2 linked regions of the Caenorhabditis elegans genome follow. The protein of the gene in region 2 interacts with the protein of the main gene of each other region in a pairwise test. Each region holds a gene or a part of one and is shown on either strand. Other genes may lie near its edges. The genes, in order: xbx-6 and sbp-1.

The links.
Region 1: the proteins of sbp-1 (region 2) and xbx-6 interact in a two-hybrid assay, tested with the Caenorhabditis elegans proteins (2 studies listed by BioGRID).

What each region holds. Positions count from the first base shown.
Region 1 is NC_003283.11:9,693,186-9,710,144, reverse strand, and holds xbx-6 (Protein lifeguard 1-like), read right to left. Parts: upstream 4,790-16,959; 5' UTR 4,786-4,789; coding exon 4,677-4,785; intron 4,345-4,676; coding exon 4,172-4,344; intron 4,123-4,171; coding exon 4,028-4,122; intron 3,983-4,027; coding exon 3,892-3,982; intron 3,836-3,891; coding exon 3,696-3,835; intron 3,403-3,695; coding exon 3,127-3,402; exon of another isoform or gene 3,058-3,126; coding exon 3,051-3,057; 3' UTR 3,021-3,050; exon of another isoform or gene 2,805-3,020; intron 2,613-2,804; coding exon of another isoform or gene 2,606-2,612; 3' UTR 2,318-2,605; downstream 1-2,317. Other genes in the region: tag-120 (Transmembrane BAX inhibitor motif-containing protein 4), read left to right, coding at 339-406, 983-1,040, 1,093-1,187, 1,239-1,329, 1,866-2,288; Protein her-1, read right to left, coding at 8,593-8,706, 9,216-9,373, 12,712-12,824, 12,874-13,016; ZK287.7 (RNA_ligase domain-containing protein), read right to left, coding at 15,459-15,589, 15,638-15,788, 16,000-16,136, 16,276-16,490, 16,547-16,959.
Region 2 is NC_003281.10:11,434,624-11,451,582, forward strand, and holds the start of sbp-1 (Processed sterol regulatory element binding protein sbp-1), read right to left. Parts: upstream 7,944-16,959; 5' UTR 7,943-7,943; coding exon 7,864-7,942; intron 7,452-7,863; coding exon 7,319-7,451; intron 7,061-7,318; coding exon 6,751-7,060; intron 5,980-6,750; coding exon 5,871-5,979; intron 5,818-5,870; coding exon 5,398-5,817; intron 5,054-5,397; coding exon 4,818-5,053; intron 4,295-4,817; coding exon 4,101-4,294; intron 4,056-4,100; coding exon 3,527-4,055; intron 3,218-3,526; coding exon 2,821-3,217; intron 2,762-2,820; coding exon 2,534-2,761; intron 2,488-2,533; coding exon 2,334-2,487; intron 1-2,333. UniProt on the Caenorhabditis elegans protein: Transcription factor involved in maintaining normal fat levels. Regulates the expression of genes involved in lipid metabolism in response to nutrient availability, such as the fatty-acid desaturases fat-5, fat-6 and fat-7.

The sequences.
Region 1 (16,959 bases), on a different chromosome or scaffold from region 2:
TTATCATACATTATCATGATCAATGATAAATTTTTAGTTTAATAACTGCTTCAGAACAATTTTCACATGAACTCAGATAATACCCTATCAAGTAACATACTTCAGTAAGTACCTATATTCAGGAATGCTCTCGAATTTCCATTCTCTTTTACTCTTATTTCCACATCACTATTTTCTATTTCCAATGTGCAAATAAACGTTTGCAGTCTCTTTCTGTCTCTTCATCTCTCGTGATTGTTAGTCATCGGCAAAAAATTTTGGACTGCCAATCGCTCACTCCACTTTTTGAGGCTGCTGATTATTAATTTATTGATTTCAAGTTCATTTCAGTTAACAGAATGGAGCAAGGATATGGAGCCACAACAGCTCAAGATGATCCAGATGGAAAGTACAACTTGCATTTCTCGTAAGTATTATTTTTTAAAGTCTGAAGGTTACCCTAGACGAAATTGTTGCAAACATTTTTTTAATATTTTTTGATTCACTTAATTGTTTATTTTGTTTATACAAAATAACTGGGCTTTTCCAGACCAAACATGGTTTTAGGCTTCTGAAAAAACAAGCACAAACAGGCATGATCGCTTTATAGGCGACCTATTCCTACTATGTACCTATATGCGTACCTACCTGCCAATGTACACGAAAAACATCTAATTTCCTAGTTAAACATTTAAAAAATCAAATAATTTGATTAGAGTAATTTAGGGGCAACTTCCTGTTAAAAATTGGCAATTTTTTTTTTAAACTTGCTGGCAATCAGCAGCTTTTAATGTTTTTTTCCAGAAAGTTTCTCCTAAATTCCGAGTTTTCACGTGTTTAAGCAAACTTTTGGTTATCTTCTAAGTATATAGGTATATGTTAGGCGTGCCTACATACCTTGGAAGACTGTGCCTCTCTTTTTCCCAAAAACAAAGACATTAACGAACACATACGTTACAAAATTTTGAATAAACTTGGAGATCTTAAACTTTTTGATTTTCAGAAGTCAAACAGTCCGGGCGGCCTTCGTCAGAAAAGTGTTTATGCTTGTCACAATTATGGTTAGTTTATCCAAAATGACTTTCAACAAACCTGTACTTTTCACATTTTCAGTTTGCCATCACAGCAGCGTTCTGTGTAATTCCTATGGTATCAGAACCGTTTCAGGATTGGGTTAAGAACAACTTTTGGGTATATTTCATTGCGATGTGAGTTACAATAGAGTTTTGATTATCTTCGAATGATAATATAAATTTCAGAATTGTATTTTTGGTTGTTGCAATTGCGTTGTCTTGCTGTGGTAATTTGAGAAGGCAATTTCCAGTCAATATCATTCTTCTCACTATTTTCGTAAGTTTTTAAGTAAAAAGGTTTTTAAAAAGTGGTTTTTAGTAGGAAGAAAATAAAAACGTTACAAAACGTATTGTAAGGTTCTATCACATTCCAAAAACGCAATCATTATTTTAGAGAGTCCCGGGCCGCTTTAAATTCTATTTTCCTAATTTTAACCACTAAAATCACGTGGTGTCAGGCTGTCCCATAACGGCTTGATCTACAAAAATGCGGGAATTGTTTCCCAAAAATGTGACGTCAGCACGCTCTTAATGATGCGAAATCAGTTGAGAAGTCTGCGTTTAAATTCCCGCAATTCTTGTAGATCTACGTAGATCAAACCGACATGGGACACTCTGACACCTCGTGGACAATAGTTTTTTTTCTTTAAAATATATGTATAACCATGAACATTCTTGACAAGATAACTTCAATTTCTTTCTGGATATTTCAGAATTCTTAATGTGCTTTGAGATAGGGTAGGCTACGGTAGGATTGCTGGAAACATGTGTTAATTTTCGTAAAAGGAAATCTAAAATTATTGTATATTTCAGACTCTCTCGGCAGCAGTCATGACAATGTTTGTTACTGCTTGTTATAATGTTCAATCAGTTTTAATTTGTCTATGTATCACCACAGTATGCAGTGGATCAGTCATTATTTTCTCGATGAAAACGAAATCAGATTTGACGAGCAAAATGGGAATCGCTTTCATGCTTTCAATGGTTCTTTTCTCATTTGGAATCTTTGCACTCATCTTCACTTTGGCATTCAATTGGCAATTCCTTTATTCCGTTTATTCTGGACTTGCTGCTCTTTTAATGATGTTCTATTTGGCTATTGATGTACAACTTCTGATGGGTGGTCGTAAATATGAATTATCACCAGAAGATTACATTTTTGCTGCGATGGAAATCTTTTTGGACATTCTGAATATCTTCCTGATGCTTCTCAACATCTTTGGAAGAGGTCGTTAGATCTTTTCACATTTTTATATGTTTTATTGTTTGCTGTAAATACATGTTTTATTTCATTCAAAAATATATATTAAGTTTCATTTCACAAATAATTACGAGTTTAAGCGGGAAAGTAGCGAACGAGACATCTTAAACAACAGCAGTTTTCGTTTCTTTTTGTTAGAAATTTTTCGGGGTGAGGGACAGAGCAGGGGACAGGCAAAGAAGAACAAAGTGAACTACCAGTGTGTAAATTAGGCATGGAATCTAGTATAGAACAGAAAAAGAAGAAGGAATTGAAGAATCGAGAATCGATGAAGTCGGGTGAAGGCCGTTGTTTAGTCGCTGAAAAATACAATAATTAGGTTTACAAGTTGATAAAAAGCTTTTCACAACATAGAAACTGAAAATTGTTGCTTTTATCAACCAAATGATTCACATATTATCGAAAAAATACGATCGCACAAATTTCTCATAATTTATTTTTGATCTACCCTGTTGACTAGGCTCCTCCCCTTCCTTCGACAAGACAGCCACAACAAAATAACAGCGGCAACAAGATTGGGGGAGGAGCCTAGTCAACAGCGTAGATCAAAAAAAAATTATGAGAAATTTGTGCGATCGTATTTTTTCGATAATACACATTCATTTAAATTGGCACAATGTTACTAATACAGCGTTAGTGAACAATGACACAAAAAAATCTAAAAAGTAAACGTGCCTTTTGAAATACCACAAACTCAACCGCCTTACCACACGAAATGTGATAGAGAAATAGAAGATTCAGTTTCTGGAAATAACCAGAGGGTTTATTGAGAATGTCTAGCTAAATTTCAAAGTTTCCCAATGAATTTCTTACCTGGATCCGAACAAACTGAGAAGGAACCAGAACATCTGGACAATGTCAATGAAGATTTGAACAGAAGCAAAAATATATTCTTCTGGTGAGATTTCGTATTTCTTTCCTCCCATCAGCATTTGAACGTCGAGGAAGAGGTAGAGCATCATGATAAGAGCACCACCGAGAGCATATACCATCATCAAGAACTTGATCTTGAAGAACATTGAGCAGATCACGACAACAAGTCCGAAGAACATGAAGCACATTGAGATGATTAAGATATATCCCATGTGGCTGAAAATTTAGTATTTCGGATATATTTTTTGAAGATCAGTGGTTATAAATTATTCGTCATCATTCTAATTTCTGAACTAAGTTTAGTTTTTGCCAATTTTGCTATTTACAAAAATTAATCTGCGTACATCTTGTCAGAACATATTTAATATATTAAAAATTAGTTTCAAATTCGACTAAATAACCTAGGTACCTTAAATTTCAGAAAATTGGTGCTTGTTAGAGTATAAATCCGCTTATTGCAGGTTTAGCACAGCATTTGAAAAAAAGATTTGATTTAAAAAAAAACTTACGCAGTCAAATCGAATTTCGTCTGAGAGGCGACAATGACAATGGAGAACGTACATCCAATGCAGATCGCCAATGCCAGAAGAACCACGTTAGCATCATGATGAGCTGAAATGACCATGGTCATAACTGAAGTTGCTAGAGTCTGAAAACGATTTTTGGATTGATAAAGGGAAACTTGTTATATTAAAATGAACTTACGAAGATTCCAGTGACAATCAAATTAACTGGGAATTTACGACGAACTCCTTCACAGCAAACCAATGACAAGTAGGTAACGAAGAAGATTACACTGGAAATATTAAATATTAATCAAGATTTCAATTTATGTACATACTAGGACCCAAGGTAGAGAGCCGAATTTCTGCGGACCATTCTCATCGTATCATCATGAACCCACGGGATAACAGTGACTGCGGCAACGATGCAAAGCTAAAATTTTTTGAAAATAGATTTAAAACTTTTTGAAAGTACTACTTACCATGATAAAGACCAAACTGAAAACTTTTCGAACGAAAGCAGCGCGGACAGTCTTATCAGAAAATTGGAATGAATACTTTCCATCTGGATTGTCTCCACCACCGTGTTGCCCATTTTCCATCTGATTGAACATAGCTCCGTGCATTGGTGGCGGTGGTGAGAAATAGGCTCCACCTTAAGAATATTGAGGTTTTGAATCGTTTTAAAACAGTTAGTTGTGAAAATATAATTTAATACGTTTCAATGTAAAATTTTTGAAAAAAATCCACCTTGCGCATTAACAAATTTTGTCGATTTTTTTTCGGGTTTCCTTTGGTATTTCGATTAATGACGTCACATTACAAAAATACAATTAAAAAATGATCAAATTTATTGATCGAAGAGCTAGTTGCTAAAAGTTTCGATATCTTCTTTACTTATTTATTTTGGAAGTTAAAATATTCTTAATTTATGTCTAACTTCTGATATCGCTGACTTTTTTATTTTGTTTTTAAAAAATCTCTCACCTTGATTTTGATTTTGTCCGTCGCCTGTATTGAATCCTGGTGGCGGAGGGCCTTGATTGGGGTAGGGATTCTGATAAGCCGGGTTGTATGGCTGTTGATTGTACGACATATCTGGAATTAAATAATATTATTGAAACGAAAATACAAGAATAAAATGTAGTCAACAAGTGAGATAGAAGCAAAAAAGTATAGAATTTCATGGAAATGGCAATTTAAAAAGTCCCAGTTGTTTATCACATTACTCGAGTTTCCATGGAAACATGGTTCTCCAGCTCACGAGGGGAATTTCTCGTCTGTTTTCAGACAAATTCTAGTAGCTAGAGAAATGTGCGTCAGTTATAGGAAGAAATAAGATTATTTTAAGGCTTAGAGGGAAAGTCATATCTAGATTGAAGGATTAGAATGGTTGAGAAGATGAAAATAATTTGATTGTTTTCAGGAATGAAGAATTTGTCATATTTTAGTTTAAAAAGATGAGCTTCTACAGATTTAGTATTAAAATTGTGTGTTTTATACTGGTGCTCGGATTTTTAAGAAGACAAAATATTATAGAAAGATTTTCAGATGCAGTTACAAATAACTCAAACTCCGGTACTTTCTGGTGTTGCTAGAGCACGAATTTTTAGCGTTCGAGCAGAAAGAACGAATGTACTCATATTTGTCGATAGGAAAGTAAATACGCTCAACGTTCTTCGTTCGAAAACTGAGACGGGTATTATCTTTCTCATTCATGCCTAGACTTCAAATAAGTAGAAAAACCAAAATGCAGTGGAAGAAGAAGACGTGTGATTTCGCAACAGAATGGCACGTCTTCTTCACTTTCACGAGAATGCAGCATCGGGCAATTGTGATGAGATCTCGTTGAGAGAAGAGACGCAGTAAACTGACCAAGGCTTTGGATATCTGCGTCTCTATTGTTTGCAATGGTCGGGGTTTGCCTCGTCAAAAAAAAATCGATGTCGACCAGAAAACAAGAGTTTTAAGTAGTTCTCAATATAGAGCATCTATTCAAAAATGTAGGTTTTAGTTTGAACGGTGACTTTTTTGTATTGTCGGAACAAGAACGACGTGATAATCTATGAAAAACAGGAACAGAGAAAGCAATGAAACGTTGTCTCTCTTTTACTCGCCAGGTCAAACAAAAAATACAACGACCTCGGCCAAAGGAGAGAAACAAGAGAAACGCATGTGTTGATGCTCGAAGACCACTACTCTTTTGAAAAAGCAGTGAAGCTTAAAAGCAGTGTTTCACATCTAACACTGGAACATGAATCGAAAGAAAAACTATATCATAGAGATATAGAAATTTTTAAAGTGAGGGAACAGTTGTATAGAATGAAAAATGTTGAGTCACCGTTGAGAGATCAAGAAATCTCTGTAGAAAAACGGAAGAGATGAGGAGAAAGTGAAAACATCAAAAGTTTGAACAAAAAATTTCATCAACAATAGTGAGATGATCAATAAGTTAAATGCTAACAATCTCGAAACTTTTACATAATTTACTAAGTTTTTCTAAGCTTAAAAAAATTCCAGACGATAAAACAGATTACAAAATCCAAAATTTTATTAATTTTTTAAAAACTTTGTATGATTTTGATTCCCTACGGAAGACAATAGAAGGGAAATGAAGAGAGAAATCGAAAAAAGCGTGAAAATTCATCGCAGAATTTCTACAGTACACTTAAAGGCGCATGCGTCAAAAAATAGTTCGCGGGGCGACACCCAATCGCGCGCTATCGTGCGTCTCCCTTGAAAGCCGTACAGTAGGCTTGAAACTGGTTCAAATATATTAAAAGTAGTTTGTTTTTTCGTTTTCGGAAATAAAAAAGCTTTTGAAATCCCCTACCATTATCAAGCTTGATATAAAAACGATATTTGTTGGAATTCCCGTTCCAATACATTTCGCTGAAATTGAAATAAACTTTCATTTCAGTTCAGATAAAGTTTGAAAAAGAACACGTAAAAATATTACAAAGTTCTATTTTTTAGGTTATATATATAAAAATAACAACACGCGTGTGCCGTTCGGTTCGATTTTTAAAATATTTATAAACGATTATGGACCGTTTCATCGAACAAATTGGAAGTTTTTTAAATCTAATCTATTTCATATTTACGTAATCTAGGAAGATAAAGGAGAAAAAACAGGATTGGTTACTGTATGTTGTGACTTCTATCGTAACTAATAATAGGCTAAGTTTAATATTCACAAAGAAACTGTTTGCGTTTTTAATTCCAAACTTACCATTATTCTGTAACAGTGGGCCTTCGGCCTGATTAGGATGAAACTGTTCATTGCTCTGTTCTGAAAATAAAATAATATAAACATGTTTCTTATAAATTTATTCACCTGCTGGAGCACTAATACTTTTTTCAGCTGAAATCTGAAATTTCGTGGAATTACGACAAATGCCCTGAAATTTAAACAAAGATAAATGTGAGCAAGAGAGTCGAAAGAAGAAGAGAAAAAAAGCTTATTTGTTAATAGTCATTCGTCAGGCAAACATGAACAGTTCTTTTCGCTTTTTTTTTCAGCTTTTCAGTAAGTGAAGGTGCCCTATAACTTGTGAGATTTCTGTTTTATTCTGTTCTACTTAGTCATACGAGAAAATTCTGTTAAGATCATGGAGAGTTTCAAAATTCAGCGAGTTGCATCTTTGTAGTCAGTTGAATATAAGTTTCAATTGTATAGCCGTAGATATTAAACGTTTGGAACATCTGAAAATAGTTCAGAATGACATTTGGTTTTCTCACATTGCATTTTTTGAGCTTAATGTAGTCATTCCGAAAACAACTAGATCAGAATCATATTTTGGCAGTTAAGTTTTTGCATTTTTGGTTTTTAGCAGAGAGTCAATAAAAAAGTACTTAAATTCTATGGCTTGAACATTGAAAATTGCTTTTAAGAACATCGGCATTTCTTGAGTTAATTGTTTTCTTAACTTTATTCTTATATTGTATTCTAAACTTAAGTTAGCAGAATCCATACTTCAAACTCGGATCACGCCTGAACAGTTTTGGTAACTTGTGTTGATTTACAAAAAATCTAAACTTATATAGTTTGAATTCCACCAAGTACAAGTTTATGATGAAACCCAACACATGTGTTAACACATAAAATTTAAAAAAAAACCTTAATGGCCATTTTATCAATTTCGAATGAATTGATTGATTTTTCCTTGCTAGCTCTAAAGCATTATTCAGTTTAAAATAACAAGCAGAATATGAGAAACAACATTACATTTAGTTTATTAATCTTTCAAAACGGATAAGAAATAAAGTTTTGCTCGTTTTGCAGTTTGAATAACTAAAATTACAAATAAAATTTAGAATTTGTTAGAAAGCAGAGAATTGAAAAAAAATTGATAAAATTTGTAGTTCGAAAATCACTTTCTTATCATTTTTTGTTGATTATGTCGTATGGGTTCTGTGCGTTGATAAAACAATTTATTCAATAAAAAAGATCGTAGAAAGTACTTGAATATTCATATTTGACAACTTTAGGAGAAACCAACAAGAGAAGATATATTTTTTATGAAAAAAAAAATAAATAAAATCAGGACCGCACCGTAGTGCGCCTTCATGACATCTGAGCGCATCCGAAAACATTCTTGAAGAGAATGTTAAGAAGAAATCAATAAGAATAGGACATTTCAAAAAATTCTATTAAAAATATATACAACAATATGACAAGTTGCGTATCGAAAATTTTCTTCAACATAAGGAGAACACAAGATTAAAAATATAACTCAAAGTGAGTAAAGCTCAAAGCTTTGATTAAGAGGTAGACATAGAGGTGTTACAAAAAATAAAATAAAAAGGTTTAGAAAGAAAAGAAAAAATTGGACCACTCATGATGGAGAGTGCCATAATGACAACGGCGGATTAGGGATGTTTTAGGCTAATGAGCCCAGATTCAGACTCCTCGGAAAGTTCGCTTTTGGATAAACGTTGCATTGCAGTATTCTTCGAATTGGAGCACTTCAATTTTGATACCATCTTTACGGAGGCTCCGGCATTTCTCAAAACACTGAAAAATAAATTTGTTTTATGACACACTTGATTAACTCGAATTGAACGATTAGAATATCGAATGAGATATCTTTGAAAAACGTGGTTCCTGGACTGACGCACTGCTCCAAAAATGTATCTCAACCTAGGCGAACAATTTTTGGGGTGATATCTATCCACTATCGGATTTTCCGCTTGCCAATTGAATTTTTTTTTTAATTTTCTCCGTTTTAGGATGAATTTTATAGACGAGGGAATGGATGGGACGAACTCCAAAATTGTTTGCCTGGACCAAGAAAAAGTCTGCAAATCGCAGCCGTTTTTACAGAGTTGGAGATAATTTAATATTTTTAAACTTGGCTTTGGTCAACTAGGGATCCTTTCTTTAAAACTGGAAAAATTAGGACTACGTACTGAAATAGGCAGGAGCTGAAAAAACCATAAGACAGATTGCACCGAATATTTTCAATTTACCCGTTTGTCTAACTAGAATAGGCGAACTGAAATTCTGTGTTAACAAAAACTCACTTTATACAGTACATTATCCAGAAGCGAGCAACTTTTGATGCTGTCCAGACGTGTGGCAGCGTCGATGGAAGGGCTGGTCATGAGGTTCTTGCAACGATTCTCACATCTTCTTCCAGAATCGTTTTGGTCGTTGCCAAACACGGAGCAGCACACGGAGTCTGAATAAAGACAATATGAGATTAGGGCGTGGGATGGGCAAATGGGCGGGGCAATCAGAGAGGCGGAGTCAAAAGAGACAGGTGTTGGCATGTTTTACGTGTGAAGAGGCAAATAATAGATCGATAATTAAGACAATTTGTCCCTCAAAAATAACGATTTCTTTTGGGAAAGTCTCTTCTGGGAAATCGTAAAATTATAGCAATTCTGTGAGTCAAATGCATTTGTAAGTTTTTCTATAAACCTCATATTATCAATAAAATTAGTGAATATTCACAACTTTACAGAAAGTAGAAATTTCTCGAATTTCAGATTTTCAAATTAATTTATATTAAGACAATTTCTGCTCAGGGGAACGCACCTAAATAAACCAATTAAGTTCTGTACTTTTTGGATTTAATCACGCGTGCATTTAGTTTAGTAAGATTACTGTATTTTCTCTAATAGTATTGCACCACATTATTTTAATTGAAAGCTTTATATCTCACTATCAACTCATTTTAAAGATATCAATAAATTTTAACTGCAAGCAATTGAAAAAGAAATAATAGTTTCTCAATTGGCAATATTTGAATAGAACAAACGCTAACTAAAATATAAGCTGGTAAAATTGAACAATAAGGTCTAATACAATAACGGGGAATACGGTATACATTATTTGAGCACTGATATCTACCTTCATTATGAAGTTTCACTTTATCAGCTATTCGAGAAAAATTTGAAAACCTCAGATGTAGCTGAAGCTATGATATTTGTAGTCTCAAAAAACATTGTTCCCGTCAAAACAGCTATGTTTGCTCTACGCAATCTAGTTTCTCCTGGATGGACCTAATCGACGCGTTTTTCATCTCATTTGATCTACCACTCTCTTACATTATATCTCGTCTACGGTATCTCTCATTTACCGTAGTCTCTCATTTCCCATATACTCTTTTGTTGCAACTCGACACACATGACGGTATTGCGGACTCTTTTATGACGACTGTAGATCGTAATTCCTATACCGTATGGCAGATCTAATAAGATGAAGGACCAAGCACACCTGGATTGGGAGGTGTAATGAGGAATAGAAAAGCAAACTGTACAGGGGTGAGAACAAGAAAATACTTATTCAATATTTATTAGCTGATGCCGTGCATTCTGATATATTTGTAAATAAAACAGATTGCTCCCGGCGGCACTTAAATATTTTCTTTCTAACGAAAAATGCAAGATGTCAAAAGAAAAAAAGCAACTGCTCTGCTCCTGTAGGACAATTGTTGCAGGGGAGTCTCCCATCTAATCAATACACCTAACAAAAGAGTGAGTCAACTGATAAAAGGATAAACATGCAAAGATATGGTATCAGTGCTCGCAGTAGAACACTCTTTTATCTTGGAGAGATAACACGAGAAAGATCAAAACAAATTATGAACATTATCAGAGAATTCAAAGACATTGTTATCATAATTTTTATGTTTTCATAAATCTATTAAATGATCAAATGAGTAGGCGAAATTAATTTTTTTTTAACATTGTAGAGAACAAGTATTGAAAAATATTAGAGCCAAATTCAATACTGTAAAGTTTTTTTTTGGCCATGAATATCTCAAAAACAAATAAAGAAGCCTATTTTAAAACTTATGTTAAAACGTAGCCCTAATAGAATTCTGAACGAAAAACGTAACTTTTTGAGGCTAAAAAATATATTTCTAAATAGTTTGAGGGTTTGAAGAATATCTACTCTCGAAACATGATGACAGGTGGTACGCAAGACACAAGGGTCCGTCTATTCTCCCTGCGCAATACCAATTGCCTGCACAACCCTAGGACAATTGAACGGACCACCTAGAACAAGTTGCAACTTTAGAGTTGAATATCTCAAAAACTGAGCCTGAAACATAATCAAAAAGTTTTTCTAACAAATAGAGCATGTCAAATTCTTTTAGAAAACTTGGTTGTTACATTACCAAAAATTTTTTGTAGATGCTTTAGGTGTTGTCAAAGTGATCCCTATTTAGTTGAACAAGGTTCCAATGTTATTGAGGGAAATATTACAATTCGAAATGGAAGAGGAAACTATTTACAGGAAATCAAACATTATTATAGATATGAGAAAATGTTTAAATGCTAGTTGATAAGTGTTATCAATAACTGGAAATGTAGTATGTTGAAGTGAAATCAAATCAGGAAACTATAGAGAGCTTAAGTTGCTTCAAAGACACGGTATCCTTGACATTTATCACAAATTTACTGATATCAGTAAGCTTCAAATTGTTAAAAGCCTGACCGACTTTGAATATATCGATCGAGCGTATGGTGGCGACTGCCCAATGCCCGAAGCCTTGTACCTCTCTGCGCACACATACGCACTATCTTCCTCCTCTTACCATTGTCTACGTCATCGTACTGCATTTTTTCTAATTTCTAAAATATCGAAAAATGTTTGAACAATTTTTTTACTATATGATAACATCTCGTTCTGCTGTAACTCGGATTATGGAAATGCCCAACATTTGCTTTCGAACTTAGCGGTGAAACTTCAATTTCCAGTTTAATTTCACATTGGCAGAAACTTTGTTTCAAAATTGGTAAAGTATTCGTTTTATAATTTAAAGTGAAAAAATAATAGCCCTTATGAATTATTCGAATAATCATTCTATCATAGTTATAATTGATTTCAGCAAGAGAGAGCGCGAACATTCTAAATTGGGGTTAGTTTGAAGACGTTTTACGTGTTATTAAATAATTTTTCAAATGATAATAAATACTCAGAAACAAAGACTTTAATTTTATCTTTGTTTTGGTATACTTTTTAGTATAGGTTGCAGGCTCAGTTTTTGTGATATAACTCCTCAAATTCAGATATTCTTGAAGTCTTGGGCGCTTTCTTCAAATATTTCTCCCATACATTGCATGCCATTTTTAAATTTCAAATAGTTAAAGATAAGTAGTAATAATAATCTTACTCATGAAAAATTTCAAACGCTCTCTCTTTACTTACGTTCTAACTATTATTTTGAAATCAGAGAAGCCTCTGATGATTTACTTTGATTTTTTTCAAAACAATTTGAGGCAAGAATATTAAAAAAAAAATGTTCAAAATTATTGAAAATTTCCAAAGAGTATACGAATGAAAGAGGCAGAAAAGATATTGTGACTTTTCAATGCGTGTGGTCTTTCTGCCTCCGGCCAATCAATGACCTCACGGGCGGGCGCTATGCCACCGGTTTCTCGATTTTCCTCAAGTTAAAACTAACTTGTACATACCGTATTAGTCATTTCCTATATTTCTTAAGAATAAACAAAACTTGATATCTTGGCTTGTGAGGAGAATTTTACCTGAAAAAAAAACGCTCACCATCCAAGTTAATCTTTTTCTTTGGTTCTTTTGCAAACAACACATTTTGAAGACATTTGTAGACATATCCGGGTAGCTTCGGATCCCTGTCATAACCACATCGAATTGGGGTTCTAAATTATACCGATTATCGCATTGTTCGTGCTCGTAAAAGCGGTTCACCCAAATTTCATAATTTCAATGCAACATTCTTGACGGTTTCTTGTACAGCATTTCTCAGCTGCATCTTTGATAAGTTCCTTTGTTAATGTAGTTTCCGTATAGCCAAATGATCCGAGAAACACAAAAATTGGGAGATATCTCATAATGCAACGTAAGGAAAGGGAGGAGATTTACTACTGTAGGTGGACAAGATGCGCTGAGAAAATAGAAGCAGAAGGTAGGAGGAATATGAGCAAGAGACGACTGGTGGGTTCAGTCAGGAGATAGGCATCCCTGCAGTGTCATTTGGTTGAATGATGGATATAGAACCTGAAGAGACTTAGATACTCAAAGAAAGTTAGACAAAGAAGGTACATACAGTGCTCATGTATGCTCCTAAGATATAATCTACTCTCAGAAGCTGAAGAACTGGTCCGTTGTTTCTGCTTAATATATAAGAAACTAGGCAAAACTATACTAGAAACTAATTAGTTCATGTTTGAAACATATCTGCTCGTCAGTGACGTCACTCTCAACAATCTCATTAAATCCTGTAAATACAACTCCATTTTTTAAAAGATATGAAAAAATGTATAATTTAAGTGTTGATTTCACAGAATATGATTATTTCTTTGAAAATATTGAATTGATTGAGAGCACCTCTCAATCTTAAATTATGTTTTTTAGAAGAAACTTTCATAAAACCCCAGTAAATGTTTCGAAGAGCCCCTCGCCGAACAATTTCCAATTAATAGATATCTTTATTTTCGATCACTATGTTCCAATTTTGTGCCTTGTCAACTTTACTTTCATATCTATTTTCAAGGTTGAGGATTAATGCCGTAGATGATTGATACAATAGTTTTACAAAATAAAGTTTATCAAATTATACTTTATCGAGCATACTGTAACCGTTCTATATGTTCCAATTGACTTCATTTCGTTTCAAACATGGTATGTTCCACCTTTGACGGTAATTGATATGATAAGGATTGCCAAATTTGCGAATATCCTGCATAACAATTTGTTAATTGTCAGATTGAACTACCAAAATACTCATGAGACAAGAGATCAAAAGAGCAAGATTGTAGTAATGATAGAACGAATAACAAAATAATCTTCTTCAGTTTTAATGTTCCTTTAAGGTTCAGATTGAATACTCTTTAGTAACTCTTTAGAGTAATATCTCTTAATAACTCTTAGAACTCTTTAGAATAACTCTTTAAAGTATTGTTCTATATCATTTTAAGAAATGAGTTGTATTCTATGGCAGAAACGTACCGAATCGTGAATTGGTTCACTTTACTTTTTTAGGTCTATCTAAGATTATCAATTTACTTAAATTTGACTATTTATTCGTCTATACTTTTCAGCTGAAAGTTTCAGATCAGAAACTGATTGAACATGCAAAGATCTGTCAAAGAAAACAATGTATTAAATTAATTTACAGTTTCAAAACATATTTTTATCAAATTGATATTTCATTTTTTAGTCAAATACAATTCCTTTATCTTACTTCGTTGTCTTCCTATCTTCTCACAACTTACCTCATTCTAGACAACACTCGATATCCCGAAGGGCCATTATATTGCCTGTCTCACAGTAACTGAGTGTCTGCAATTGTGAGCAAATGCTATTGCATGTGCGTGATTCACTAAAATAGCATAGGAGATTGAGTGACTTAGAGATCGAATGCGCGGGAAAGAAGATCAAACGAGTAGGCGGTGTGGACAGATGACGTGGGTCTACAAGTGTAGCTACAACCGAGCACAATAAAGGCAATTCAGGGAAAATAAGGATATATAATGGTGTTGAGCTCCGTTGATGCAAATATATATTGCTACATTGAATTTTATTTTCCTGGCCCAAAAATAACTATCTGTTCATCAATATAATTAAGAATTGGAATCAAAAATTACTTGGAAAAAATATATTTAGTGTTTGAAATTTCACGATGACTATGTAGTAATGAAAATGAGAAACTTGTTAATTTTTCAGATACAATGGAAAATAATAGTAAGAAAAAATATTGCAACTGTGAATTAGATACATTCAACATATTTTTTAATCAAATTTATTACGAATTTGCGAACTAGAAATTCTCACGTTTCAAAAATTTTCAATAGAGTAATCTCAAAGAGTCATGCGCCTTTAAAACCAAGTAATACAAGCAAACTCATTTCTCTGAATGTTTTGCCATTTTGATTTGATTTTTTTAAATGTTGTAATTTCTTGATATCCAATATTTCAATTCAAATATTCAACTGCAAGGTTTTCATTTCTAGAAATATCTATTCAAATTATGTCTCCATCAGTACCTGAAAGTTCAAATCCGATGCCAATCGTAATTTCAATACACTGTTTAACGTTTCAAACTGAACCGAGACATCTACCGTAATCCGTAAACCATTGCAACGGGATGAAAGAGAAATTTTTCAAACCCAGGGTGCAACGGCAGCAGTAGAAAGAGAAGAGAAGATGATTGAAAATTTATGGCAGAGCGACGTCAAGAAAAATTGCGTTTTATTAGTTAACAAAGAGCAACAGACAACAACAAAAAACTGACAAGATTTCTTACAATAACTGAACTAATAAAATTTGAGATCCTAAAATACGACATCTCCCGATGTTCGTGATGTTGAAGACGATGAGTCTTCTGAAGGTTTTTCAGATCTATTCATAAAATCTTTATAAGCATGACGAAGACCAAGTAGATCGAGCATTGCTATGAAATGAGCTAAAAATATAGGAAGCTTCAGATTTTGCAAATCAAAAAAGTTTATACCCGGTGGTTTCGCAGCTGCAACGAGACCATGTGCTTCATGACCACCGACGTCTTCGAAAATTGTGTTGTACACGTGGCAATAAATTGGAAGTGAAGTGAGTAGACTTCGATTTGAAGTTTCGAGCGTCGAACAAAGATGAGGTGGGATGAACTGGAATAATAGTCATTTTAGAAAAACATGGCAACTTTCCAGTTTTGTCAAACTTATTTTGCAAATATATGGGGAGTAAAACAGTACAATACAGATTGATTTTGATAGTATTTAAGATATACATTTTTTTAAGATTTAAAAGTTCAATTCTTATTGTAAGATTGAATAAGATTCAAGTTTTTTTCTTTACAAAATAACTTTGGTGACTTACAATTCTATGCCCCATGTTTCCCGCGCTGATAAGTTCAGGAACTCCATCCACGTCGGCCAAACGTCTCCAGTAGATAGTGTCTCCGAGGATCGGACAAGACATCTGAGTTAGCATCAGTCGTGGGAGATGACGAGCAACTGAAGAAATATAATATTCAATACAAAAATAATATGTATTCAAACATTTGTTATCTAAAAACCCAGCGTCGTCGTACTTTTTAATTTGAAATTAAATATACCAAGATGATTTTTTTCGGAAGATTTTTGGTTAATTTACATTTATTTACTGAAAAGTCGATCAATGAAATTCCATTTTTTGTGTCCAGTACTCGATAGCTCATATGTCCTTCTACAGCGTATTTTCCAGTTTTTGCCCGTTTCGTTGTTTTTCTTTCTTCGAAAATGTACTCTTTGTGCTTTCCGACATTCCGAAACGTGGCAAATCCAGTTATGACTCCACTGCTCTTTTCAGGTCTTCCAATTGTGATTGCTCTGAACTTTAAAATAATAAATACTAAAATTAAACTTTAGAAATTGATAAAACTTACAAGGCATTATACATAAAAGGGGGTTCGACATTTGAAGAAGTGCTTCTGATACATTCTTTCAGAATATTGGAATCCTTTTCATTACATGGAAGAACAATTGCACCAGATAAGTATCGTTTTAAGCCTGTACAGAAACTGAGCTGAGGCTCACGGAGCAACTTTCTCAAATCTTTGATACAATCGGAAATTGTTACTCCCATTTGTTCTTGAGTCCTTGCTTTGATTGTACCAGCCCATTTTTCAGTTTTTCTCTCATCTCGAACACTATTCCCAAATACTCCACCATTTTCTTGAAGTTGTCCAACACATGACAATCCATATGGCTTTTCCAACACTACAAATCGACCTGGAGCGTGAGCCAAAACCTTTTTCGATAGGTATCGAGCCAGCTGATTGGGATTTGAAAACGTGGC
Region 2 (16,959 bases):
TAAATTCCGGCAATTTGTCGGCTTGCCGATTTGGAAGAAATTTTCAATTCCGGCTAATTGCCGGTTTGCCGACTTGCAAGAAATTTTCAATTCCGGCAATTTGCAGGTTTGCCGTTTTGTGAGAAATTTTAAAATCTGGCAATTTGCCGGTTTGCCGATTTGCAAGAAATTTTAAATTCCGGCAATTTACCGGTTTGCCGTTTTGTGAGAAATTTTAAATTCTGGCACTTCGCCGGTTTTCCGATTTGCAAGAAATTGTGAATTCCGGTAATCCGCCGGTTTGCCGGAAATTTCAATTCCGGCAATTTGCCGATTTGCACGAAATTACAAATACCGGCCATTTGAAGGTTTGCCGATTTGAAAGAATTTTTTAATTCCGGCTAATTGCCGGTTTGCCGACTTGCAAGAAATTTTCAATTCCGGCAATTTGCAGGTTTGCCGATTTGCAAGAAATTTTCTATTCCGGTAATTTGCAGGTTTGCCGATTTGCAAAAAATTTTCAATTCCGGCAATTCACCGTTTTGCCGATTTGCAAGAAATTTTAAATTCCGGCAATTTGCAGGTTTGCCGATTTGCAAGAAATTTTCTATTCCGGCACTTTGCCGGTTTGCCGATTTGCGATAAATTTTAAATTCTGGCAATTTGCCGGTTTGCCGATTTGCAATAAATTTTCAATTCCGGCAATTTGCCGGTTTGCCGATTTGCAATAAATTTTCAATTCCGGCAATTTGCCGGTTTGTCGGTTCGGTTTGCAAATAATTTTCTATTCCGGCAAATTGCCGGTTTGCAGATTTGCAAGAAACGTTCAATTCCGGCAAATTGCCGGTTTGCCGATTTGCAATAAATGATTAGATTTCGGCGATTTGCAAGTTTGCCTATTTGAAAGAATTTTTAAATTCCGGCAATTTGTCGGCTTGCCGATTTGCAAGAAATTTTCAATTCCGGCGATTTGCCGGTTTGCCGATTTGCCGATTTGCCGATTTGCGAGAAATTTTAAATTCTGGCAGTTTGCAGATTTGCCGATTTGCAAGAAATTTTAAATTCCCGCAATTTACCGGTTTGCCGATTTGCTAGAAATTTTAAATTCTGGCAGTTTGCAGATTTGCCGATTTGCAAGAAATTTTAAATTCCCGCAATTTACCGCTTTGCCGATTTGCTAGAAATTTTAAATTCTGGCAGTTTGCAGATTTGCCGATTTGCAAGAAATTTTAAATTCCCGCAATTTACCGCTTTGCCGATTTGCTAGAAATTTTAAATTCTGGCAGTTTGCAGATTTGCCGATTTGCAAGAAATTTTAAATTCCCGCAATTTGCCGGTTTGCCGATTTGCAAGAAATTTTAAATTCTGGCAGTTTGCTGGTTTGCCGATTTGCAAGAAATTTTAAATTCCCGCAATTTGCCGGTTTGCCGATTTGCAAGAAATTTTAAATTCTGGCAGTTTGCAGATTTGCCGATTTGCAAGAAATTTTAAATTCCCGCAATTTACCGCTTTGCCGATTTGCAAAAAAATTTCAATTCCGGCACTTTGCCGGTTTGCCGATTTGCAAGAAATTTTAAATTCCGGCAACTTGCAGGTTTGCCGATTTGCGATAAATTTTAAATTCTGGCAATTTGCCGGTTTGCCGATTTGCAATAAATTTTCAATTCCGGCAATTCACCGTTTTGCCGATTTGCAAGAAATTTTAAATTCCGGCAATTTGCAGGTTTGCCGATTTGCAAGAAATTTTCTATTCCGGTAATTTGCAGGTTTGCCGATTTGCAAAAAATTTTCAATTCCGGCACTTTGCCGGTTTGCCGATTTGCGATAAATTTTAAATTCTGGCAATTTGCCGGTTTGCCGATTTGGAAGAAATTTTCAATTCCGGCAATTTGCCGATTTGCAACAAATATTAAATTCCGGCAATTTGCAGGTTTGCCGTTTTGTGAGAAATTTTAAAATCTGGCAATTTGCCGGTTTGCCGATTTGCAAGAAATTTTAAATTCCGGCAATTTACCGGTTTGCCGTTTTGTGAGAAATTTTAAATTCTGGCACTTCGCCGGTTTTCCGATTTGCAAGAAATTGTGAATTCCGGTAATCCGCCGGTTTGCCGGAAATTTCAATTCCGGCAATTTGCCGATTTGCACGAAATTACAAATACCGGCCATTTGAAGTTTTGCCGATTTGAAAGAATTTTTTAATTCCGGCTAATTGCCGGTTTGCCGACTTGCAAGAAATTTTCAATTCCGGCAATTTGCCGGTTTGCCAATTTGAGAATGAGTACTTCTAAAACGATTCAAATGAATTCAATACGGATTTTCCAAAATAGATAGGCCAAAATAAGTCTAAAAACCCACTCTGTCAAAATCTTCGGCGGACAGTTCCTGATCAGTGAATAGTGTTGCCGTGCCAGCTCATTCTTGTTACTCCTCCAATAGATTCCACATGTCAGAACGTGCGTCCACCATGTGCAACAAGCATCTCCGTTTCGAGAGATCCAGGTTCCGAATTCTAGAAATTTATAACATTTTCAATCTTAAAATTCGTGTTCACTAACTCGCTGACTCATCCTTCTCATTAGTCAAAATGGCAGCGCACTGCGTTGAAATTGTCACCAAAAGTCTTGAAACATCAACCACGTCTACTTCATCATCGAGACGGTCATTGTCATTTAGGATGCGTTCCACATTTTTTGTAAAGATCTCGTCACCACCGACAAGTTCCTGTACAAGTTTGGAGAGTAGGTACACTTTCAGCGTTGTTCGGATTCGAGCAAGTGGGGATACTGGAAAATGAAAGTTTATTTATTTTTTATTTTATTTTATTTTATTTTAAAATACTTACATTGCTCATCTTCCACAAAAGACCCAAATCTCAACTGCTTCTGCTTCGAGCTCAACACATGCTCCAACCTTTTCGCATCTGACATGAACTTTCTTGTCGCTGGATGGAAGATCCATAACAAATGGGACACCGAGTGCTCCGGAGCTCGACGCACGTGCCTTCGAGCTCTTCGTAAAAAGTATCCCGAGAAGAATGGTGCGAGTAGGTTCGGAAGAGCCAAACGGCATTGGATGGATGCAGAAATGTAGATCTGAGCCATGACGGCGCGTGGAAGTCCGTCGTTTGATGCTCCGGCAGCTTCAGCAAGGTTTACTGCACAGAGGGACATGAAGAGGCCCGTTAGGGCGGATGGTTCATAGGTGTCTTCGAAGTTTCCAGTGATACCCATTAGATGGAGCTGGAAAAATCATTACTTATACATAAAAAATACATGTTTCTGTCTCTTGAAGGGATATTAGTTCGGAGTTAGTGGGGGGATATGGTCAGGGTACTGTAGTAGTACTGTAATGGTACCGTAGGAGTACTGAAGGATTACTGTAGTTTTGGAAAAATTGACTTTTTGTCTTTTGAAGGGATATTAGTTTGGAGTTAGTGGGGATATGGTCAGGGTACTGTAGTAGTACTGTAGGGGTACTGTAGCAGTACTGTAGGATTACTCTAGTAAATATATTTTTGAATGCAAAATTTATGGAATTTGACAGTAAACCTGATGAATTTCATGATAGAGAACTGCAGTCTGCGCATGACTCCTACAAACGACTGAGACAGGCTTCGTGGTGGACCTGCGCCTTCTTGCGATGTATCTCCCGATCCACAACCAATTCAAAAGATGTCGAACGCATTCCCAGCCAACCGAAAACACCGAATCAACCCCCGGTGATGGAAGCGATCGATCCAACGTTGCAAGACACTCGCAGAACTTTCTCTGAGCATCTTTCAAATTTCCAGAGTTCAACTCGGCTCTCGCCTTCTCTCGAGTCGTCACAAAAGTCTGCCATGAAACGGACATGAAGTCTTGAACAGGGTCACCATGGATCAGCAGTTTGACAACCACATATATGATCATTAAGATGTTGAACACCCAGACATAGCTCATATTGATGATACTCCCTTCCCAGAAAAGCGTCCGAGTGCTAGTTCCATCCGGGTCATCAATCACTCTTCCATGCTCGAACGGGGAGGCAATCGGAGCTTCTGCAGCGGCTTTTGAGAATATCGCACTTCCAGCGAGCAATCTAAACAAGGATTTAACGCTATTTTTCAGATGAATAGAAGCTTACCCAATCGGATTAAAAATCAGAACTGCTAGGAGCATCGCAAAAAGGGTAACTTTCGAAGATCCATCTCTAGTTCCATTCTTCATAGGAGTCGTTGTGCTCATTCGTGATCGTTTTCTCTCATTTCTAGGTGGAGAAGGAGATGATTCGACGGGTGATCGGGCAGAGTATTCAGTGTATTGAATTGGTTCCGGGTACTGTAATATGGCGAGGTTGAAGATTTTCGGCATTTTCGGTTGTTTTCTTTTTAAATAATTGTATGCTATTTTCAACCAAATTTGGCAGTTTAGACTGCATTTTTTTCACATATTAACCATTTTTGGCTCATTTTTGCCACATGTTTCTGGGCTAATTTAAGCCAAATTTCATGATTTCGACTAATTCAGTTTTATATTTTATAATTTTGGTTTATTTGGACCTTTTCCCCCTGTTTTTGGCTCATTTTACCCAGAATTTCAAAAATTTTGAATTTTTTTCGGACTTTTTTTTTGAGTTTCACATATTGAAATTTTTTGTCGGGTAATTCAAATTTGGTGGGAAATGGAAATTCACAATTTTCGGGCCAAGCCAATTTCAGCAAATTTTTAGATTTTTAGGCCCAAATTTAGCCCAGATTTATCCGATTTAAAATTTATATTTTTCACATTTTTTGGGTCAATTCTGACCTATTTTTACGTTTTTTTTTCTATTTTTTTCTAGATTTTTCAGAGTTTAACCCACCGGTAATCGATTATTCTGCAGTGTCTTTCTCATTTGTTCAACATGATGCTTCAACACCTGATTCTCGTGTTCAACCTCCTCGATATGTTCAATAGCCCGTCGTAGTGTTGCCGATTTTGAAAGCTTAGCTTCATCCCCACACAAAAGTACTTTCAGCTGTTGAATTCGATCATTTATTGAGCATCTATACTTCTTTTCGATGAGATTGTGTGCCGTACGACGCTCGGTTTTTGGTCCTGGAATAGTTGATGTAGGTTAGGAGAAATTTCGAAATTATTAAGATTAAATATAATGCAAGGTATTATATTCTTGTCAAAAACTACCGAAAAGTGATGACATCGAGCAATTATTTATTGAGTAGTCGGAAGTTCTAGTGGAAACATAGTTAGAAAATTGTATTTTTAAAACAATGTTTTTTTCGATTTTCAATGGAGCTTTAAAATAAGCACACTACTTTAAAAAAATTCAATCGTAAAGTTTTTTTAGTGTATTTTTTCACTACTTTAGGTATATCTCCATGTAAGAAAAACCAAAAAAAAATAAATTGTGTCCTTTTGGTAAAATTGATAATATAACCTACTTCGAACAATAATAGTAGTTCCCTGAGACATAGTCTCCCCGGAATCACTATCCTCATCATCCTCATCTTCATCCCCTTCCGCTGTCTCCTGAATCACAATCTTCGCCGCCTTCTCCTTACTCCTCGATGGCCCATTCGTCGCTGAACATGCTCCTGATTTTTTATTCTTTAACCGTTCAACTTCACTCGGAGACATGTTAACTAGTAACCGAAGAAGCTCCTCTTTCATATTCTGCGGGCTTTTTGGACTTTGTGGTTCAACCAAATGAGTTGGTTTCGTCTCTGGAGCATCTTCAATCGATGGAGATGCCACTTGTTCAGGGTTCTCATGGATTTTTGGCATCGGGTGGTGATGGTGGTGATGAGGTGGTGGAGATTGATGGTGTTGTGAGTAATATGATGGTCCTGATGGGCCTTGAGCTGGAAATTATTAAGGATCAATATAAGGTTATCAGTAAAGGGGAAAAGAAAACCTTGGTCGTATGGAGACATGTACCCGTTGATATGTTCCATTGCTTCTGTATATGGTTGAGGAGTCATTGAGGTATGGTGTGGTGGAGATAGCATTGCATGAGTGAAATTCTGGAAAAATCATCGAATTCAGAACGTCCAAGAAATGGGTGGAGTTTTAACTTTGTATCCTAGACCTCCACCCATTTTTGTGAGGGGATAAATTCTGATTCTGGAAAATCTTAGCAACTCCAGAGGCGTGCCAGAAGTTTTCTATTTTTCGCAAGTTTAAAATTTGAATTTCCCGCCAAAAACTTTTCTCAGGAAATTTGAATTTCCCACCAAACATTTTCTCAAAAAATTTTTAATTCCCGCCAAGAAATTTCCTCCAAAATTTGAATTTCCAGCCGAAAAATCTCTCAAAAAATTTGAATTTCCCGTCAAAATTTTTTGTCAGGAAATTTTAAATTCCCGCCAAAATTTTTGTCAGAAAATTTTAAATTCCCGCCAAAAAATTTCCTCCAAAATTTGAATTTCCCGCCAGAAATTTTTCTCACCAAATTTGAATTACCCGCCAAAAAATTTCTTCCAAAATTTAAAATTCCCGCCAAAAAATTTCTTCCAAAATTTAAAATTCCCGCCGAAACTTTTCTCCGAAAAATTGAATTTCCTACCAAAAATTCTTCTCACAAAACTTGAATTTCCCGGCAAAATTTATATGCCATATAAAACTCCAACCATTACAGAATTCACAGAATTATCGCCGAAAAACGCCTAGCCTCGACATTTTATGAGTAGTTTTTAGATATTTTTTGACAGTTCTTGCTTGATAAGACCCCCCTCTACTGCAACATTTACCCCGTAAAATATGCACTTTTCTACACCAAAAAAAAAACGACAAACCTTTTGATCAATTCCATTAGTATTAACAAAAAGCGACGCTGCCTGATGTGGAGTCATCGCTGGCGCGGCGAGTTGTTGAGCAAGTGATAGAGGTCTGTAGGCATCTGCCGGGGGGTAACCTCCACTTGGTGGAGATGTTTGTAAGGGGTTAAGCATACTTGCAGGACCTTCTCCAGATAATTGTTGGGTGGCGGCTAGAGAAGGTCCACGGCCTCCGCCGAGATCAAAGTTTGGCGGGGAAAATCGCATTGAGAAGAAGTCGTCGTTGTTGTGGTTGAGCAGGGAGTGTAAGGTGCTTACGTCTCGTTGACTGAAAGTTGGAAAATTTTCAAACTGCACGCCTACTACCTTGCCTACGCCTGCCATCTCTCCTGACAAATGAAAAGATGCCACGGAAGGTAGGCTTGCCTACCTACATTACTTATATTTTTTAATATACCTATTGTTTTAGTAGCCTAAGCTTTACGTCAGTAGTTGGCACGTAGGCAGGCACAGGTGGCCTTGTAGGCAGGCATAATTTTTCAGGCCTATGCGAAATAGTACCTCACAGTACACTAGCCAAACTCACCCATCAATATCATAATATTCCTGTGGCGGACTGTGTTGATTTCCGGGAATTGATGGATCCGGTTGTTGTGATGGTCCGGGCTCTTGCCAGTTGTGCTCCATGTCAAAATCGAGCGGGTCGTTATTTGGAAATGCTGAAAATTAGAACTATAGGCACCGAAAATGCAAGCCTGCCTGCCTACTGCTAAACTAATATACTATAGAAATTATATTCCTTCAATGAGCAAGTTTATGGGCGTAGGTAAGTTGTGTTGAGCAGGTAGGCATGAGGTTGGCAGGTAGGCAAGGGCTAGGCAGGTAGGCATGAGGTAGGCACGTAGGCATGGGCTAGGCTGGTAGGCATGAGGTAGGTGTTTTGGGTTTTTGAAAATTATTTTTTGTGTTTTGATTGAATGCTTGTTTTTGGTGTAAGCCTGGTGTGTAGGCGCAAACCAGGAGGTATGAGGTAGGCAGGTAAGCGTACGCAGATAGGGACAAGGTAGGCAGGTACGTAGGCATGTAGGCGAACAGGTAGGCATGAGGTAGGCATATAGGGAAAAAACTCACGCGCAATATCATCCAATTTTGTGACCAATGAGAGAAACGGATCCGACATAGGGACGTCTCCCTCGAATTCTTCGTTCATTCTGAAAAAAAAAAGTCAAATTTTGAGGAGCAAAAACTCAACAAAAAAACGAGAAAAATGAGATAGTTAGTTACAAAATCAGAACTCAAAAGCAAAGAAGGAGACATTGGGGAAATTGATAAGGGGAGACTTCGGGTGATAAGAAACCCCCAGAAACACCCCCCTCTCTGGTAGAAGTTCAGAAAAAACCGAATTTGCAGGAGTTTTATGATCATTAATTTGGGAATGGGAGAATAGGAGATGCAAACGCGCTCTATGGAGAATTTATTTCAAAACTTTTATGTGACTTAGGTATATGCAAATCGGTAGTTTTGGAACCAAAATGTGAAACTTTAAACTGAAAAAATGACAAATTTCCCCCCCCCCCCCCCAATCACAAGTCATTTCCGATCACACTTTTGACATCGATTTTGAAAAAAAAAACTTTAATGACAGTATATCGACATTCAAAAAGTATATAATAAAAACATTTGCGGAAGTAATGGAGTTGAATTGACATGCAAAATATACTATTTCGGCCAGGCCGACAACCTGAGAGCCCGTGAGATGTCGTGGGCATATTGCAGCCGACAACTCGTGGGCATATTCTCTTTTATTGTAGAGCCGTGAGACGTCGGTTGTAAGTAAACAATAAGTGAGGACTTGCATCCGACACCTCGCCGGCATACTACTGTTTTGTTCTGAGGGCTCGTGTGATGTCGGCTGCAGGAGGGAGTTACTTTTGCAACCGACATTCTACAGGTTTTCCTTAAATCGACACATTTTCCATTGCCTACTTTTGCCTATTTTCAAGGTCTTAATCTACACATGCACTACAATTAGAGGAAATTCGCGTGTAACTCTCATGCTGTGCACAAACAACAATCAAAGAATGATTAAGAAACTGGTCAACATGAAATCATTATCTTTTATCAACAAAACTTTTTGATAGGAACAGGAATTTTTAGAGCAAAGAATGATGCTCTTGCAGAAAATTTGAACAACAGCATTACAGTTTCATTGCCCCCTGTCTTGCAGCCGACTTTTCATGGTTTATCATTTTGTTTTGAAGACCCGTGAGATGTCGGCTGCAAGTCACTCCATGGCATTTACTTTTATACCCAATGCGGCAGGCATCTCACGGTTCCTCACATCAAAATATACTTTATCTATGGGCCGACAAAAAAATCTTCGGCCCCGATTTTTTGTCAGCCACGCCGGAAGTATTTTTCTGTACAGAAAAATGTAAAGAAATTTCGCAACCTTATTAAAATTATCAGTACATGTAAGCTTGATACGCTGCTCTGCTCCGCATAAAATAAGAAGTAGTTAATGAGGTGATCTGTGGAGTTTGGGAAATTTAAAAAAAGAAGGTTTTCAGATTTTTAATAATTTTAATTCCAGAAAAATTGGTAAAATAGGCAAAATTTGAAAAAAAGTTAAAAAATTCGAAAATTATTCTAAACAGTTTCCATATTTTCCATAGAAAATTATATTCTTCAAAAAAAATCGCAAAGGTCATATATTGAATATTGCAGAAACTGATTTTAAAAAATAATATTTCCAGAAAAAAAATTTTGCATGAAACATTTGAACGTTGAGAGAATAAAATCCTAAAAATTGTAAATAAAAAATAATTATGAAATTTTCAATTTAAATAGTGTAAGGAAAATACCAGTAAGAAAACATTTTTTAAAAATTTCTAAATTTCCAATCAAAAAATGGCAATTACATGAACATTTAATTTTAAAAAAAAAGAAAATTTTAATTAAAAGCAGGAATATTCTGGTTTTGACAAAATTTATCAGCATTTCATTTTAAAACAATTTCAAAAATTTGAAAATTAATATTTTTAAAGTCGTCCTAGAATTTTGAATAAAACATTTCAAATTAATTAATATGTTAATATGAAAAAATTCCAATAAAATTTTTTAAAGGACTTTATCGATTTTTCTTCTAGCTTTTTAACCGTATCATGTTTAATTAATTGAATTTTGAATTTTTTCAAAAACTCCTGGAAGTGTGCCAAAACTAAAAAATGGTATAAATAATTATGCAGTTAGGCTATTTATACTATTTAAAAAATTTTCGAAAAGAACCTTTTTTGCCTACAAATGTAGGAGTTCTAACAAGCAAAAAATGCTCAAAATTTTTCAGAAGGTCAAATGTATTCGAAAACGAAAACAGTTTGCCAAAAATTTTTTTTGTCCGAAAATTCTAAAACAGCTAAAAAAATGTGTAATCTCTTTATGATTAAAAAATACTATGGAAAATTGAAAAGAGTCATACAAAAATAAAATAACTAATTACGTTTTATCAAAAGATCCTCCAATCATCCACTCTAACTGATCAGCTGTCTTTCTCTGTCTGCGTCTCTTCATCTCACACAGACTACAAGATCAATGAGTCACGCGGTCAGCAAAAAATAGACGTAAATATTTACAGATTATAATGCATAAAACATGACTTTTTAAAATGAAGAAACGTCATTTAATTGTTTAAAAAATCAATAACCATAAAGATTTGAAAAGTGCAGAAGAACCGGTAAACGATTCAAAAAAAAGAAGAAAAGTTGAAGTAAAAAGAAGAAAGAAAAAGAGAGAGAAATAACTCTCCTATCTTCTTGTAGACACACTGTTTCACCGTCTGCGTCTCCACAAATCACACGCTCTCTCGTTGACATTGTAGTATGTAGTAGTTAGGGTGATAGGAATGACGATATTTGATGGAAACACAAGTTTTATTAAATCGGAATTTTTTTTGCAGGAAAAAAACAATTATAGAGAAGAATGTGCAAATGGAATCACGTGGGTAGATGTTCCATTATGACAGATAGGCTGGAGTAGAGCCAAAGGAAGAATGATGGGATTGATAAGAGCTTTCCACGTGGTAACGAATTCCGAGGATATTTATGACATGTCTAAGGAACGCTGAAAGAGAATTAATCTGAATTACAGTTGCACGTGGTGTCAGAGTGTCTCATTTCGTTTTGATCTACGTTGATCTACAAAAAATGCGGGGGAAGAGACACAGAGTTTTCAATTGATTTTGCATGGTTTATAAAGTGCTGACGTCACATATTTTTGGGCAAAAAATGGCGCATTTTTTGTAGATCAAACCGTAATGGGACAGGCAGTTGTTGCTTTCAAGGTACAAATCAGGGAAGGGCGGCAAAGTCGGCAAGTCGGCGAATTGCCGGTTTGCCGATTTGCCGTTTACCGGATATCAAATTGCCGGAAATTTTTAGAGGGATTTTTTATAAGACGGAAAAACTTAAAACTATGCCTTTTTGAAATTTTTCCCCATTTCTTTCAGATATTTTCATAGAATTTGCTTACTTTTCAAAATAGATGTAGGATTAGTCATAGGATGCGTACAATTTTGCCGATTAAAATTAAAATTTTGAAATTGCCAGAAAAAAATGTGCAAGATCACAATTTGCCAAAAATTTTTGGCAAATTCGCCAAATCGGCAATTTGCCGGTTTGCCGATTTATTTCAAATTGTGGTCTAAGGCATGACTGAAAATGCACTTTTCAGCTTCATCTCGGCGGTTATGAGATATTTTGGAACTTTGTTTTTTTAATTCTGAAAGAACTTAAAATTTGCTACAAAACGGCTTTGGGGATTTTCTGAAAAACTTAATTTGAAGCCAGATATTAATTTTCAAAGTTTGGAAAATCTTTTAATTTTGCATACAAATAGTCGGTTTTATTTAATCTCAAATCTCAAATATGTGAACAATTTGAGCCTAAAAATTTTAAGTGTTTTCTTCAAAACCAAACACCCAAATTTTTAAAAAATTTTAAAAATAACATTAGAAATTCAGATCGAAATTTATCCAGTACGAAGTGCTCCTCGCCGCAATTTTTTTTGATAACCAAAGAGGCTTAATCCTGAAATCTAAAATTGAGTTGAAATACTTTGGAATAAAAGAACGGGTGTATTTTTTTTCTAACAGTACCATCCAAAGCTACTTGATCTCTTTCCCAGTAGTTCTCACGTAAGATGCTTTGCTCTTTGAGCACACGAACAGTTTTGTGTATTCTCAACATGTTTGTCTTTTTACCTATGTGCTAATTTCCTCACACTGTCTACACAAATGCGCGATTTTATAGTTTTAGTTCAGTTTTCTTGAAATTTGCGCTTGTGTTTGTATTATTTTTGTTTGAATTTTTGTGTTTGAATTTCTAAAATTTTCAATTAATTCATTTACGAATAAAAAATAAATTTCTATGTTTTTTTTATTTTAGCGAAATTGAAAAATCAGGAAAAGTTTGAAAAAGTTTTAAACATTTTTTAACAATTCATTACAGTCTATTTTCTGTCATTTTTTAACAAATCTCATTTTTACTAGAATTGGGGTCGTCACTGTGAATGTCGGTTTGCAGTTTTATTTAGTGCTCATCCCTCGTACCATTTTATATTGTGTAACCTGATACTTGCATAGCTCTCTCTCTTGTTAATACCACCTTTTGGTTATCTAAATGTGTCTCTTGATTTGACCTGTCGCGCGGTCAAGTGGAGGGGCAACTGTTGCATCACACTTTGGTTAGCATAAACATTAACACAATTCGCAGGTTTTTTTGCAAAACATAAACATAAATAGTTGTGAAAAAAACAAATACATACATTTAGGAAATCAACCATTTTGGATTACATTTTTCTAGTTCACAAAAAATTGTGAAACGCATAAAAAATCGCAAGAAAATCGTCTAGGAGCAACTTCTTAAGTTTATGAGAAATTTTGAAAAATTTTGCTCCAAATTTTTCAAAAAAAAATCGGAAATTTCCCTACAAAAATTTTGAAAATCTAAAACATTTTAGGAGCTCTAAACAGGATTTGAGATCCATGCAAAAAAATTTTTGCGTGAACCTCAAAAGGTATTCTACCCAGAAACATCAAAAATCGCTCGAAAATGTTTCGCCCTTTGAAGTGACTATTTTAACATTCCCATTCCCATTCACCTATCATTTTATCTCAATCTTATCACAACTTCTATCCCCCCTTAAAAGTCCTCTTAAAATTTACGACCTTTTTTGATCACACGCCGAAAAGTGGAAAGATAAGAAGACATGGTTTAAAAAATTAACGGAATTTTATGTACTTTTTGGTGAAATTGAAAGTTGAAATTTTTGGGATTTTAATTTTAAAACGTCAACGAGGTTCCAATTAAATCTTCTGAAAAAAGGCAATTAATATAATGAAACTGAGATTATTCCGTCGATGCACCATGTCGAATTTTTCAAAAATTTCCACTTTTGTCAGTGCGCAGTCCGCTTAAATACACTTGTATGTTAGACAAAAAATGCTCAAATTTTTGAAAAAAAAAACATTAAAATCAATTTTTTATGGCTATTTTTAATTTTGCGGGAAAAAAATGAAAATTGCTGAATTAATTTTGAATTACCGCGCAAGTAAGTTACGTCGTTTTGACAGTTTTGCTTTTTCCTCATTTTTTGAAAAATCATTTAAAGCATAAGTTCTCAATTTTCAGACATTTTTCAGCAGAAAATATTTCTTATGTTAAACTATAGATTTTTAGGTCTATATCAGATATTTCCAGTTACCAAGATTTTTTTATGGGAAAAAATATGTGAACAATATTAAAAAATGGAGGAAAACCCATTACCTAATTTTTCTGGAAAACGAAAAAATAGCGAACATCACAATATTTAGCGCTTTTCATATTTTTTTTGGCAAAATTGCAAAAAAAAACATTAAATCTACAGGCAATACTCCGCCTTTGAATAAAACTGCTCAAACTCAAACTTTCAAATTGTCTGTAAATTCAAAACTGTTCAAATAAATTTTTTCAAAGCTTGAAATTGTATCTAGAAACATCTAAAACCCTAAAACTTCCCCTCCGAAGTCTCCATCCTACTCAACGATCCCATTCTCCACATATCCCGAGTGCTCGTTTATCAAACAGTTATGTGTTTTGTCTGTCACTCTCGATTCCAATACTTTCTCTCTCTTTTTTCACTTCCCCCGTCGTCTTTCCGTCGTCGTCGTCGTCGTCGTCGTATAACCGATTCCGATATGCAATAATATGTAAATGTAAAGCAATCGTTTGTGTTTGAATCATTCCTTCTTCTATCTTTCCAAAATGTTCATCGATTTCTTAAGTGGTGATAAAGAGGGGTGATAAGAGGTGATTAGTGGCCGTCCTGGATTGGATTCTGTTCTTTTTGAAGTTTTACCGCCGCTCCTTTCCTATGATTCTTAGCTTTCAGATTAGTATCGTGTGACGAAGTATACGTGTTTTTTTTAACATAATATACTTTTTTGATTTTTCTCATTAAAATCATAATATTTTTTTTGATAAACCAATAGTTTTCCGGATATTCTTTTTTGTGAAATATTCTAATTTTTTGAAACTCAAATGTGAATTGATAACACTTTTTTTGCTGATATCACGGAAACACAATATTCTGATAATGCGTATTGCGCAACATATTTGACGCGCAAAATATCTCGTAGCGAAAACTACAGTAATTATTTAAATGACTACTGTAGGGCTATATCTATATTGATTTATTGATTTTGGTTCATTTCAGGACGCGAGCCCGTAAATCGACACAAGCGCTATAGTAGTCATTCAAAGGATTACTGTAGTTTTCGTTACGAGATATAGTTATATTTTGCGCGTCAAATATGTTGTGCAGTACGCATTCTCAGAATTTTGTGTTCTTTAAATAACAAGTGATAAAAAAGCCTTGGAAATTAAAAAAGAGCAAAAAGCGTTGTTAGTTTTCGCTAGCAGTTTTTTTTTGGATAAAATGGGTTTTAAAGGAATTTTTATCATTCTCATTGTCTACAAAAAAAATTTCTGATAAACCTTTTTTTAAAGAAAAAAATGTTGAATTTTCAAATTTTTTTTAAACATATTTTTCTTATTAGGTTTCCTGAATGTTTTTTGTATTTTTTTAAAATAAACTTTTGATTTTCAATAACTTTTCATTGAAAAAAAATATCGTGGTATTTTTTCAAATTCCGGAAATTTCTACAATTTATTCGGAAAAATTCAAAATTCGGATGTTTTTGGTATAGTTTGAGGTGAAATTCAATTCAATTTTGGAGCAACTCTCCGAGCTCTAACTTTTATAAAAATAATTTTTGAAATGCAAAATTCAAATTTTTTCTCAAAATTTCAAAATGCACTTTTCCATTCTATCCTAATCAAAAACTAAAAGAACAAAAAAAGAGAGGGTGTATTGTTGTAAAAGAGCGATAGGGACAGATTTTTTATGACCACCCCTTCGATTCAGACGATAAGGGGAAATGGAAACATTAACGGACGGTTGGAGAATAACAAGGACCATTAGGTTGACTATTTTTATTAGTTTCTTTTACGATTCAATCAATCGCCATATGTTTGTAATTTCTTGCTGCTACATATTAATTGAGATATGAATTAGGATTTTGATTATTGTGCGTTTACGGCTGGTGTAGTTGAAAATTTCTTTAACACCGAATTTCATATTGAAATTTTATGAACAACACTGCTCAAAGAATCAGTTAAAATTTGAAATTTGACCGCCTTGCGGCTGGAAACTAACTATTTTAAATCACTGTCTAATTTTGGTATATAAGCTAATTAGCTTTAGTTTTCAACTTGATTTAAGTACATTTAAGGTTGATGGATCACCAGAAGTTACTAAATATTGCAACAATTGAGTGGGCAGATAGGCAGGTATTTCATGCCTACTTGGACGATTCCGAATTTGTAGATCAAATCCTGAAAACTTGTTTAAACAATTTTGAAATCGTGAACTTTCCAGAGTTCAGACTTCTAGAAATGTTCAAAATTTCCCGAAAATTTTAAAATATTTTTTTTAGGAATATTTTATGAATAATCTCAAAAATTAAAAAAAAATCAATTATGAAATGTTACTCTTCTTCTGAAAAATATATACGCATTTTGCTAGTAAAGCCAATAGTAAAGCTTTATAATTGAGAGCAGATGTCTATGTCGATTTCCTCCAAAATTTTGAATATTTTGAGCTCCTGCTCCTTCTCGACCTCAATTCCCTAGATTTGAAAATGTGTGAAGTGTGTCTTCCTCCCAAATTCTAATTGGCTTCAATTTAACCATCGATCACTAGTGTTTCTCGCCGAAAAGAAAAATGTGCACATTTTTTTCAAATTTATAGCATAGAAAATCCACATTTCGGTTTTTTTTTTGATTTGACGGATGTCTTTTTGAAAAATCGATTTTTTACTGGAAATCCAGAAATTCTCATTTTCTTTAATTTTCGGCAAATTTCTAAAATTTTGGGCAAATTTTGGCAACTTTTTGCTAGTTTTTGGCAAAATTTTCGGCAACTTTTACAAGCTATTGCGAGCTTTTGCCAACTTTTTTGAACTTTCGGCAATTTTCTGTAACTTTCTGGCAAATTTCTGCAATTTTTTTGCAAGTTGTATCATTTTTCGCAGACCTTTCAAATTGCCTGTAATTTTCTGCCACTTTTTGGCATTTTTTTGCAAGTTTTGGAGATTGCAGGCAACTTTTATCAAATTTTAATAATTTTTTCAATATTCAACAATTTTCATTGACTTTTTTTTGGCGATTTTCTCCAATTTTTGACAGCTTTCGGCAAATCTCACCAACTTTCTGCAACTTTCCTCAGTTTTTTTTTGCCAATTTTTGCCATTTTTAGAATTTTCGCCATTTTTTCAAATTTTCCGATATTTTTTAGCATGGTGCATCTAGAGAGGTTTGTGTAATTTTTTAAGTACTAATAATCCTGATGTACACTTATATCTTTATCAATCTGCTATCCCGTCTACATTCTCTCCCACCTCAAGCAAATCTCCCCTCTACAAAGTTCTCAGTTCTCACCTCCTTCCACATGTCCGTTCGATTTTCGCACCCTACAAGGTCATCGAAAAGCGAACCCGAATTCTCCATTTTGCAATTGCATACTTCTTCTTCTCCTTCTCTAATTCATAGTTTTCTCTCACTTGCCAATTTTTTATCAATGTTTTCTTTTTCCCCGCCGCATCGGTCCGCCGCTCACTCCTTTCATCTCACC